Linked DNA regions of Arabidopsis thaliana. The protein of the gene in region 1 interacts with the protein of each later gene in a pairwise test. Each region holds a gene or a part of one and is shown on either strand. Other genes may lie near its edges.

Evidence for each region. The genes of interacting proteins can lie anywhere in the genome.
Region 2: the proteins of AT4G07950 (region 1) and AT1G65000 interact in a two-hybrid assay, tested with the Arabidopsis thaliana proteins (one large-scale study listed by BioGRID).

What each region holds. Positions count from the first base shown.
Region 1 is NC_003075.7:4,795,207-4,801,746, forward strand, and holds AT4G07950 (DNA-directed RNA polymerase, subunit M, archaeal), read left to right. Parts: upstream 1-2,634; 5' UTR 2,635-2,945; intron 2,946-3,680; 5' UTR 3,681-3,703; coding exon 3,704-3,899; intron 3,900-4,179; coding exon 4,180-4,304; 3' UTR 4,305-4,589; downstream 4,590-6,540.
Region 2 is NC_003070.9:24,143,701-24,150,193, forward strand, and holds AT1G65000 (F-box only protein), read left to right. Parts: upstream 1-3,224; 5' UTR 3,225-3,455; coding exon 3,456-3,586; intron 3,587-4,552; coding exon 4,553-4,673; 3' UTR 4,674-5,101; downstream 5,102-6,493. Other genes in the region: GTG1 (GPCR-type G protein 1), read right to left, coding at 221-341, 862-969, 1,355-1,455, 1,952-2,166; AT1G65010 (WEB family protein (DUF827)), read left to right, coding at 5,843-5,859, 6,204-6,399.

The DNA.
Region 1 (6,540 bases):
GCATTTCTAAACGGTTGCGTTTTTACCGCAACTTTTCATTAAAATATTTAAAATTTGTTTTACGGTCGTGTTTTTTTTGTCAAATATTTTTAAAATATTTATGGTTATGTTTTCGGACAGTTATACTTGTGTAACTATAGCCGTATCTATTTGATTCTGAATGGTTGTATCTTTTTATCGTAACTTTTTATTAATATTATTTGCGGTTGTATCTTTTTATCGTTATTTTTGTTAATTGCATATTTTGGTAAAACTTATGTAATAATTCGAATATTTGAATTATTATTATAATAATTTAATACATAAATATTAGGCTTGGGCGTTTGATTATGCTGTTCTAGCCTCTTAGGATCCATAAGGGAACCAAAAAAGTTTCGGTTCGGTTCAGATACTTAGAAAGAGAGCCGACAAATTACCAAATTCTAATAGATATCGGTTCGGTTTTGATCATTTTACTCAAAATACCAAAAAAAGAAACGAAAAATATCCGAAACTTTTTTACCAAAATAATAATGGTCCAAAATATTAAAAAATTAACAAAACTTTTTTGGGTGATAGGTTTTTTAAAAATGTATTGGCTTAGATGTAGTTTTGTATAGAGTTGACCAAATATTTTTTGGTTCGATTTGGGTATCCATAGATATCCGTTTCGGTTTGCGTATACCGTATATCCAATATCCAATATCCAATGGATAGTTTGACTGAGATTCAACAGGAGTATTTAGTGGTATCTTGATACGAACCGGAACCCTTTTTCAGCTTGGTTTGGTTTGGTTCTTTGGTTCCGGTTTTTATGCCTTGATCGTTCTAACTTCTATCGTTAAGTGAAGTAGTGGTTACTTTTCAAGAAATTTTACAAAGCCGAAATACTAAAAAATTTGGGGTCGATTGGTAACGACTGTTATATTTGGCTATACAGACTTTGACTATAGAAATTTTGGTTGTAGAGAATTTGGCTGTAAAGACTTTGACTTTAAAAACTTTGGCTGTTAAAGTATGATTGGAACTAAAAACTGTAGAAACTGTTACTATTATTTTTACAATATATATTTAGAATTGTGAATTATTTGAAAATGAGTTTTGTGATAATATACTAACAAAATTAATTTATTATAAGTTTTAGAAAAATACAAAATAAAATAAATAGATAAATATACTCAAATCTCAGTAAATAAAAAATATATTTAATCCATATAAAGATCTGATTAGGTGTTTTGGATCAATGAACTATCACTGTGATGCAATTGATGCAAAAAAATAATGAAAACTGGATCTCTAAAAAGTGAAAATAGAAAGATGATTATTAATTAATCAAAATATTTTTGAGTTAAATTACTTATTGATAGAGAAATTGTTTTTCATTTGTCATGGAGAAAACGAAAAGAAAAAAAAAAGAAAAACAGATTTTATTTTATTATTTGTTTTATAGCCCAAAAAGTCTCACATTGTGACTTTAAAAAACTGAACCTGAATTGAATAAAATAAAGCAGTTAATTTATTTTCCATCATCCGGGAGTGTGAGAGAGTTCTCTCTCTTATCTCTCTAATATCTTTTAGAGAGAGAGCCACATCCAAGTTTCTTTTGATGTTCCACAAAATCCATTAACGTCGTCCAGTTTCTTAACGCTGGCTTTGAGTCTGACATCCACCGGCTTCTCATGCAGTAGTTGGTCAGCTTCTTTCACGGCATCATCTGGCTTTGTTAGCAGAGATGTCCGATCCGCCGTCCGTCAATGCTTTTCACAGCGTTTGTCAGCTTGCTTCTGGCATCCGTCGGCTTCTTAAGCGACGGTTGGCTGGCTTTGGGGTTTTGTTTTTATTTTCGTTTTCTCTCGATTCATTTTGCTTTAGTTTGTTTGGATTTAGTTTGCGTTTTAATCCTTTGATTTGACTGCATAATTCTCTGATCCTTCTTTGTTTAAAGAGCTTAATTCGATTTTCAAGCTAATTTTCTCAATTTTAAAAATCGGATTTGAAGTTGCGGATTGGAGTTGTCGTTGGATTGATTTTAACGTAATTGAGGCTAATTTCTTCTTACCAAAGCATGTGAATCGTTTTATCTTTCCTGTTTTTTAGGTTTAATAATGGAAGCCTTGTCAGCTTATCTTTTAAGTCGATGATCCCGGAATTCATGAACTGCGTTTATCCATGGAAGATTTCAATTTTGCAGATCTAACGGCGAAGTTTGTTTGGGATTCTCTGAATTTGGTGGTGATGTTCATCGGATATTGTTGAGCCTTGATGTATTGATGCTCGTTACGACTTTTTCCGGTGACTAAGAATTCCTTTCGGTTGCAAACTATGTCGGCTGACCGACGATGACCTAAAACTCCGACGTCTCACGTGTTATCATCATTGTCTCCTTTCGTGACACGTGTATCTGTGCTGGACATGATCGACTCTTCCTTCAACCAGTGGTTTCATGAATTGTTGGGCTTATGTTTGTAATGGGCTTCTTTTTGCCGTCTCTGATACCGGGTTTGAATAACCGGTTTGAGCGTTTGTCTCTTTGTACTTGAAGTATTGTAAGATGTTATGCTTTTAATAAAAAAAACTTTTATGTGAAAAAAAAAAAAGAATAAAATAAACCAGTTACCTCAGATTCCTTGGATACTTCAAAAATGTCGGTTTGCCTATGAATCATAGACTTTAAAAGCTTTTAAATTAAATAAAGTCCTTAAAGTGGGATTAGTAAATTTTTGGCTTTTAATTTTTGTTCCAATCAACCCCTAAGACACTCAAGAAAAGAAGAAGAAGCATAAAAAGAGGCCTAAATGCCCAGAGAATTAAACAAATGGGCCTTAATATATAAACAAACATCAATCTCTCGCCGTCAAAGGTTACATCTATCGCCGTCAAAGGTTCCATCTATCGCCGCCGCTGAGACCGCCACTTTAGGCCGTCTCGTCCGCAATCTCCGTAACCAACACCACCCGCATCGCCTGGTAAGCTCGATTTTTTAATCATTTCGATCTCATATGATGTCGATCTGTTCAATCTTGCGAATTCGATCTTTATTTTGTTCTGAGATTTAGGGTTTCACGAATTTGTGTTCTAGGTTTTCTGGCTTAATCATTTTTATTGTTAACTGTTCTGATTGGTTCTTATGCTTTTGGTTACACAAAGATCTCGACTTTTTGTTGACTCTGTATGCAAATTTGTCAAAAGTCAAAACGTTGTTACAGAAACTCTCTTTCGTGCTTGTGTTTATGTATGAACAATAGCTTCGCTATTGGGTTTGTTGATTTCACCACACTTGATTAAATATGTATATTCTATTGAAAATGTGGTCAATCTTGGCAATAAAAATTGAATTGTTGGTTTAGAATGTGGTCGTCACTCGTGAGTATAGATTGGATTAGTGGATCGAATTATTAAGTCAGTGGATTGAATTGTGGTATTATTAAATTGCTAGATTTTGGAGTTGGTTTCATTATTAAACCAAAGTCTAATGAATGTAAAGTTGAATTTATGGAAAAGTATTGGTTATTTCCGGTTAAGAATGGATTACTTGAATTATAAGTTACTTCATGACCTGCCTTGCTATTAAAGTAAAAACTGGTTGTTACACGAACACAGTAGAACAATGTATTAAAAACAGCCCTTCCCTCTCTCTGTCTCTATATATCTGTCTATATCATAGTTTTATGAATTGATTTTTGTGGGGGATGATTTTGCAGCGAATTGATCGGTGAGGTGGAAGATGGAGTTTTGTCCCACATGTGGGAATCTGTTGCGCTACGAGGGAGGTGGGAGTTCGAGATTCTTCTGTTCCACATGTCCATACGTTGCCAATATCGAAAGACGGGTTGAGATAAAGAAGAAGCAACTTCTGGTTAAGAAATCTATAGAACCTGTTGTTACTAAAGATGATATACCCACAGCTGCTGAAACAGAAGGTATTTTCAGTCTCTGGTCTTCTCTTATTCTAAATTTAGAACTGTGATTAGTTAGTTAGTCCATGCTCTGTTGATTGGTCGACTAAATTCGTAAATACTTTAAAGTTGATTGGTGGAAATCAGTTACATAATTACTCATGTTATGGAAAGGGCAAAAACAATAATGCTAAAGTGGTATTACATCATTCATGGTATGCAAGTGCAAAAACACTTGGGGAAAGAGTAGAGTAGACTTTTTGTTCAATGACTTTCTCATGTTGGGATTGTTTTGTTTTAACAGCTCCATGTCCAAGGTGTGGCCACGACAAGGCGTACTTCAAATCAATGCAGATTCGTTCAGCAGATGAGCCAGAATCAAGATTTTATAGATGCTTGAAGTGCGAGTTCACTTGGCGTGAGGAATGAACCGATGATCATCACCTTCTCTGTACCCGCTAATTTTGCAATCTTCTTTGAGTTTGTTTTACCATTACAAAGTTTGTAGTTCCTCTATGTACTCTGGTTCTTTCTGTCTCAGAGCTCAAGAGTTTCTGTATTTAAAACAATCGATAAAATTTTGGAATATTGTGCAAAGTTTTAATTTTTGAGGTGAAGAATGTAAGCAAATTGATCTGTTTTGAGATTTTTAGTATCAAGACTGCGATGTATTTGTTATTGCATTGGTATTTGACTTCTTCCTCTTCCTCTGTTAACGTAACCTCCAGATTTCAATTTCTCACATTTCTTCGTCTTCTTAGCAAGAAGATGTCTAAGCAGAGGAAAAAAACTGTATTAGCCACCGTTTTTCGCAAGTCATGGTACCACTTAAGGCTCTCGGTGTGCCATCCCACTAGGTTCCCGACTAGCAACTAGTTCTGAATAGGCGAAGCTTTACGAGTGGCAGCTCCGGCAAGCTAAACGTATGGGACGAATAGCTAGCTCCACTATCGACTTTGGTCGTTCTTGATCCAGATGGCAAACGGATCGGGTATGGTGCTACTACTCTCAACGCCATTTATTCTCTCGCTCGCCATTATGAGAAATCGGGTGTTGATCCTGGTCCCGAGATACACATTGTGTTGACAGGTTAGATTATTCATACGATGGAAAGTATTCCTCACACTTCCTTATCTTGCAGCTCATGACCCTGATAGTCTTGTTCCTCTCCTTTTTGATCATATTCTTGCTACCGCTTCATGTGCAAGATAAGCTTTCAAAGACAACGGTGATTTCCTTTTTTAAGCTATGTAAAACAGACAAGGATGTGTGGATGCTGATTTTTGAGTTTCATTTGTGAAGGTGGATTATTTATTGGAGACGTCCTTCCTTGTTTTGATGCTTTTAAAATCACTCCCCTAAAGAGGCAGCTTCCATAGTTACTGTGCCTAACACTCTCGATATTGCCTCCAACCATGGTGTTATTGTCACATCCAAATCTGAGTCTCTTTCTGAAAGCTATACAATCAGTTTAGTCAATGATCTTCTAGAGAAGCCTATAGTAGAGAAGCTTGTCAAGAAAGATGCGATCTTACATGATGGACGGACACTCCTAATTAACACTTGGATAATATCTGGGGCAGAGCATGGTTAGACCTGATCGCTCTTGGATGCTTGTGCCAACCCATGATCTTAGAGCTTATTCCTAAAGAATGACATTGTAATTCACACATTACTCTTCTTGAAGTTGACATATTGTAAATGCAAAATATCAATGCCTTTAAAGAAAACAAAAACTAGTTAAAGAACTGCAAATATCACATGAAACGGAAACCATCAGTTTCTTTTCACATTTTTGTATCTCTTTTCTGTTTCATATTACACAACAATTCCCACAAGCTTTTTTGAGCTTTATTTTGAGTTCTTCATTATATATAATTACTAGATAAGGTCCGCCTATATAGGCGGGTGTATAGGCGGATGTAAGATAAAAATTTATTCAAATATTCATTAAGAATATTTAAATTTTAAATAGTAAATATTGATCCAGACATTTTTTCTAATATTTAATTTGGAAATATTTGTATTAAATAAAATTTTAATCATACACATTCAATTTTACTATACATTTTAATTATCTATTTCATCATAATAAATTATCTTGTAATTCTACACACTCCATCTTTCTTTTTATGGTAATGTGTAGGGGACAAAATCCTCGTATAATATATTCATAACATAAAAGTACATTCGGACACTTCATGGAAACGACATCCCATATGTATCCTCTAACAATATCATACTTACACCTGTGAGAAACATCAACTAAGTACAGACCAAGCGATAACTAAAACACATAATTTGCTAATCATTTCACTATTCATTCCTATACACATGAGTAACCCGGACTATCATGTCCTTATACACTCCATCTTATTGATGATATTTGAATTTTAAATAGGAACTCACATACTTTTTCAGTATTTAATTTAGTATTTCCTTAAACCAAATTTTAATTTTACAAATTCGATTTTACAATATAATTTAAATATCTATTTTACAAGAATAGAAAATATAATTTATTTCTTTACACTCCATCTTATTGATAGTTTTCCATTTTTAGTTAAAAAAAATTTTAAGTTAATTATTTAGATATAAACATATAAATTAGTATATGTAAATATGATTTTTTTAGTTTCCTATCTTTTTTTTAGGAACAAAGTAA
Region 2 (6,493 bases), on another chromosome or scaffold:
CTTTCTTCTTTCATTCTACATTTTTATGCTTTCTCTCCGAAGGACATGCAGGTGGCACTATATATATTCAGTGCTAATTATGTATGCTTATCATGTAGCCCATTGAATGGTTCCCCTATAAGGAAACACTCTTATTGTTGGTTAAATATAAACTAGAAAAAGGAAATAATGAATAGAACACTATCTAGTAGCTTACGGAAATAGAGTTGAATATTAGTACCTAATGAAGAGGGATATATAGCTGTAGGGTAAATTTACAGCTCCAAATCCTGATAAGACAGCCATTAAGGTCACACCAATGACCCCAATTCTACTGACCAGCTGAGGCATGGTAAAAAACCCTTCAAAGAAATAGGAGCTTTAAGTCAACAACTTCAACAGACAATAAAATCCAAAAACCAAAACCCAGAAATGAGAATGCTTGGATGCAGAAGCTTGTGCTGATCAGAAGTAGACAAGAAAAGTATAAATAGTTAGTCATTTTGAGCTTTTTCTTTGAAGATATTTTTCAGCAAGGTAATGCTATACACTCTTATCAAGCTCTCATTATCGGTAATGCTATACACTCTTATCTAGCTCTCATTATCTTTCGTTGCAAACAACATCATACCCTCTAATCTAGATATTCAGTAGTCAGTATTATCAATATTGGTGCATATAACAATGGATAAATATGCCATATTCATCTATACAGAAATTAAATTAGGTGTAACACTGGTACCAAGCTTAGTTCTTAAAGTTTATAATTATCACTACTGCAAGGGATAAATGAACTTAGAAGAGGAAAATGAGTAGCAACTAGCAAGATAACGATGCGATGCTGGAAGGAAAGGAATGGTTACAGTAGTTTGAAATAAATACCTTTATCTGCTGAAGGCATAGGGAAATGAACTCCCATACGCCAGAATGCGTAAAGGAATGCTGACAAGAATAAGAAAGCCCCAACAGAGGCACGCTCCCTTCTTACACCTGAAATGTTATTTTAACTTGAAAAAATTACAGACAGTTCACACAAAATGCTGTAATATGCGGCAGCGAACAATAAAGTGATGCTTTCTCAAATTCATTTATCTCCATCTAATTGAACTCATGAGTGTTTATAAAAGAAGCAACAAAGCCAGAGATAAGGATCAAGATTTTTCAAGATATAAGATCAAAATGATGGGCCAAAGACTGTTTATACACAGCTGCACAGAAGTGTTCTCAAAGAAATCTCAGTTGAGTAGCAATTATATAACAAAAATAGTTTCAGGAGCTCCTAAGAAACTTGCAATGAATTAACCAATTATAGTGATTACCTTCTAAACAAGAAGTGATAAGAGCAAAGAAAATTCACATATGAAATAAGGCTTACCACTATTACGAAGCATCAAATAGCAATGGTAATACGGCAACATGAAAACCAGAAGAAGTATCAAACAAAAAAGATCCACCTTCCAGTTTATCATCCTTGCCCTGCAAAATCATCAAAAGATCGGTCCAAGGCTTAAAACTCTAAATTAATATTCCAACTAAACAATTGCTACATAATGCCATGAATTCCCCCTCCAATATAAGTATTACGTACAATGACAAACACCTCAAAAGCTCAATGATATAAGCATCTAGTATCAAGTATCAAATTTCCACATGACATAAAGGAATAAACAAGAGAAGCTAGCTACCACACAGTTTATATACTCGATTACATTACACATACACCAAAAAAATTGTCAAGTAAAAAAATTCTTAAGACAATAACTCCATCAATCTACACTCAATCTCAAAATCATTGCCAATTAGGTAAGAAGTCAACAAAATTAAGCAATTGCAAACAAAGGAGGACCAAGTAAGTAACACAATCTAGAAGACAACAAATAAGTAAAGTTTCCAAAAACCTCCAATGCCAGAAAACACCAAAACTAGCTAAATATCAAAAACTACAGAGTGGATTACTCGAGAAAAGACTTACTCTCTAGAGAGAACAGGTATGATCTCGAACAAAACGAGCTGCAATAGATTACAAGAGAAAGCGAAGACGACACTGAAAATGATTTGAACCAAAGCTCGTTTCTCTTCATACTCTTTGTATAATCTCCGATTAAGAAACCATAAACCTGCCCATCCTAAGAGACTTAGTGAAGCTATCACCACCGTGCCTTCGTATATCGCCCATCCGTAACTCATCGTCGCCAAATTCCAGATCTCTCTTACTTCTCGAGAAAAAACCTCAGATCTGCAAAAACCTCATGGCGATTCAACACCAGAGCTTCTGTTGTACGATTCGATTCGAATTTGATCATTTATGAAACAATTAAAAAAAAAGTATTTAAGAATACCTTATTTATTTTTGGTTAGGGTTTATTTGGTTTAAACTCTAATCAACAACAACCTCATCAACTTCATCATCACCACCACCACCATGCGACTCAACTCGAACTCGCAGAGAGGAAGGCGTTATTAAACGCTAACCAACCATTGAGCTACGGAGTAATGTGAAAGAAACTGCACAACAATAGTGTTTCTATCCTTTTTTTTTGTTTATAGGTTTTGGCGTCTAGTCTAGTGTTGATGATAATTTTAACTCCATTTTCCGACATGTTTTCTTATCTGGTCGATTGATTTTTTTGTTTTTCTTTCACTTTTACATATATACACGAAAAATGATCGATTCATTAAAATTGTTGTTTAGAAGGCTTGTCCAATCTTACACGTGTTACCATATATAAATTTGCGGGAAGTGGGAAGGGAAAGATCGGGATATCGATAGTTCATGATAAATCTTATAATTACGGGATCAAGATAAATATTTTTTTTATCATTAATAAAAAATTAATATTTGTGTACATTTTCTTATTGTTAGATAGAAAATTTAATATTATCATAAATGTAAAGAACTTGCTAATCAAGTTATGATTTTTGTATAAATAATCCTATTAGCTAATGAATAAATAGAGAAAACCTGTATTATTGCTAAAGTTTCCTCCAAACTTATCAGACACCAATCGATGATGTATAATATACCATTTTTCATAACGTGATTCTATTATTTTTACCATTCACAATATTTATCATACATTTATATTTGATTTTCATGTGTATGTTATATTTGATGCATGTGGAAAAAATAATTCAAAATTAAAAAAACTACAAAACGTTTTTCTTATTATATCACAATTATTTAACAAAAAAAAGTTTTGAGCTATTTTGTTTATAATGTTTTTATGCTTTTCAATCCTACATTTCACTATCAGAAAAATGAGGCCAAGTTATAAAAATAAAAATAAAAACTAAACCCAATAAGCCCATTAAGGCCCATAAGTCAATACAGCAAAAACAGCTCATCTTTGCTAAAACGTAGATTACTGATTTAATCTACCGGAATCGAAAGGCAATACCAAACTTCCGGTGAACCGGAATCGGATCCATTTGACTTGCCGTAGAAATTAGGAAATTGATTACAGTGTTCTTCGAGAATGGAGAAGAAGGAGATGGAGAAGTTGTGCCAAAGGTGCAAACAAAGCTACACAGATCTTTCAAACGAAACTTCCTCTTGCCGTTTTCATCCTTCCTTCTTCGTTTGTCGTCGTCACGATGACCAGAAAAGGTTATGTCTCCTACAAACCCTAAATCTATTCACTAATGAAGAATCTCACATCCCAAGCAGCTTGATTCGCTAATTTATAATGGCAAAGCACAAATTGTTGAGATGGGTTTTGAAAGCCATCCACTTTATTGTATTAAGGTTCTGGATCTATAGCTAATTTAGTTAGATACCTTAGATTCTTTGTAGCCAATAATTTTGAAGTGATAGATGATCATGATCTCAGTTTAATGGCTATTTGTGGGTCAAAGGTCATGTTTTGGTTGATTTGAAACTAGCTCTTAGCCTTCTTTGCAGATAATTAGCTACTGTTGTATTTGCCTTGCCCATTTCAAACTCTTTAGGCATAATCATGAAGCTGTTTAATGATTGTGGTCACTCTTAAACGTCGAATACTCTTAACCACTGAGGATAAAAAATTATCTCGACAAGTTTTCAAGCTGTCTAGTGGCCTACACTTTGTTCTGCTAGTTGAAAAAATGGTTTAGTCGACGGTTAATAGCATAAATAAAGAGTGGTGAAAAATACAGTTTAGAGATTTATCATCTGATTCTATGTTGCGTGTTTTATCTTGGTAATAAACTTTGGACTAGGAAGGAACGTAGGTGTCTCTGTTCCGTTATTGGCTCCTTTGGTTATTTACTTACTTCCTCTGTTTGTGATTCTCTCTGTTCCATGCATTGTAGTTACCCACATAGCATAGACTTAACTATCTTTTGTTGAGCTTTTATCGTTATGTGCAACGAATGAGTTTATTTTGGTGTTTATGGTTGTTGGTTTTGGCATTCATATTCTTGCTGGTACCTGATATTTGTTATTTCATTTTAATTTTAAGGTGTTTCGAAACTGAATATATATTTATTCCAAACCATGTTTAATCGACTTGAGTATGATGCATCTGTTTGATTTCTACTTTTTACTAAGAAGTGGAATTAACTAGAACTTGTTTTTTTTAATCAATAAATGAAGGTACTATGAATTGAAACCAGATGATCCACCGTATGCTGCCAAGTTCTATGATTGTTGCGGGGCAGAGGATCCTAATGCACCAGGTTGTGTCACAAACCCTCACATTTCATATGATGACTGATGTATGAGTGAGAGCTCTCATAAGCCTTTTTTTTTCCATAAAAACATCATGTAAATAATCTTAAATTATTGTAGCCTTCTTAGGAGTAAAAGACTTAGCTTGTGATCTCTCTGCTGGGTACTGTCTTGAACCACTTCTTGCATTGCACACAGCTACAGAGTGAGCTGTTGTGTTACAGCTTTTGTCGGTTTTGTGAATAGGAGTGTCAGAATCATTTGACGTGAGAAAATTCCGGAACGACTAACGATTTTATGTTTATTTGTAAGGAATGTTCTTGTTTCTATGGTTGCTTTAAAAAGAGTCAAAACTTTATATTCTTTTTATGAACACCAACAACAAAAATCTAAATCAGACATATAGGTTAATTAACTAATGCAAGTAAATGTGGAAAAATTTACAAAACAAATTTCAGAAGATCTAGAAGTAATCTTGAGACAGTACTTATGAGAAATAATCTTGCACTATCATCCCTCTTTTCTATGAACACCAAGATTTCTGATGCACTTATAATTTCTTATTTTGTGTCAACAATAGATATCCAAACAAAGGTAGAGAAAACATTTGAATGTGGACAAATTATAATTATATTAATAAATTGACTGTCTTTAAAGTTTAAACTAAGTTTAGCAGATCTCATTAAGAGAAAAAAAAAATCAACATGATTGAGTAGAGCACATGAAGTCCACATGACACAACTCCAAGATCTCAAACTCTCTGGTCTTAAATCAGATCGTTAGAGAGATTTATTCTCACCTCCATTATTAAATAAAGCCAACTTGTTTTGGTCCACTTCACTCACAGCTTTTATTATTCTTCTTTTTTCTTTTGTCATCATAATATATTACTCCCCAAAAAAAAAAAAAGCAAAAGCGGTGAGAAAGAAAGGAGAGAGAGAGGGTGACCACTATGGAGACAGCGCAACCCATTACTCATTATTAGTCTCTCCTACCATTCTTTTGCCTAAAGTTCAAGACTTTGTGTTCTTCTAACAAGACCCTTAATCGTAAGTTCAAGACTTTGTGCTGTTGTAGTCCTGTAAGAAGAAGAAGAAGAAGACCATGAAATCGATCTGACTTCTCGCAGCAATGCTGAGGATTTAGCTGCATTTATTACTCTTTTTTTGTCAATTCAATTTCTCTTTTCTTTGAAGCTCTTCTCTTGCAACAACAATGGCATCTAGAACCAAGTGAGTACTTTTAGTCTTTCTTCTACTTTCATTACAAGTGGATCTGATATGATTCTTGATTTTGACAGTTGGATCTGTTTCTTGTGATGAATTGTTGAGTTGATCATTTTAATCCTAATTTGATTGGAATGTAGTTGATTTAGTCTAGTAAATGTAACTGAATTGATTTGAGTCTAGTAAATGTTTTGACTTTTGGGAACTTAGTTGATTTAGTCAGGTGAAAAGTTATGATTTTTAGCAACTTAATTACTCTTGTTTTGGTAAAATAATGTTAGATCCACAAATTTAAAACTTTTTTTTATTGATGTTTAGTGTAACATTGTCTTGATTCATGTTTACTGTAGAACTGGTTTGATGGAGACTCCTCGTAGTAAACCATCACCACCACCTCCTAGACTGAGTAAACTCTCTGCTTCTAAATCCGATAGCAATTCGGCTTCCCCGGTGCCAAATACTCGTCTTTCGCTTGACCGTTCTCCTCCAACCGTTAACTCAAAGCCTACTCCTGACCGTCGACCTTCTAGGATTCCTACACCCGAGGCAAGATACTGAACTCTCTCCAACTGATATATGAATCTTTTTTTGGTTTTCATTAGCTTTAAAAGACATTGATGATGACCATATTCTTTGACAT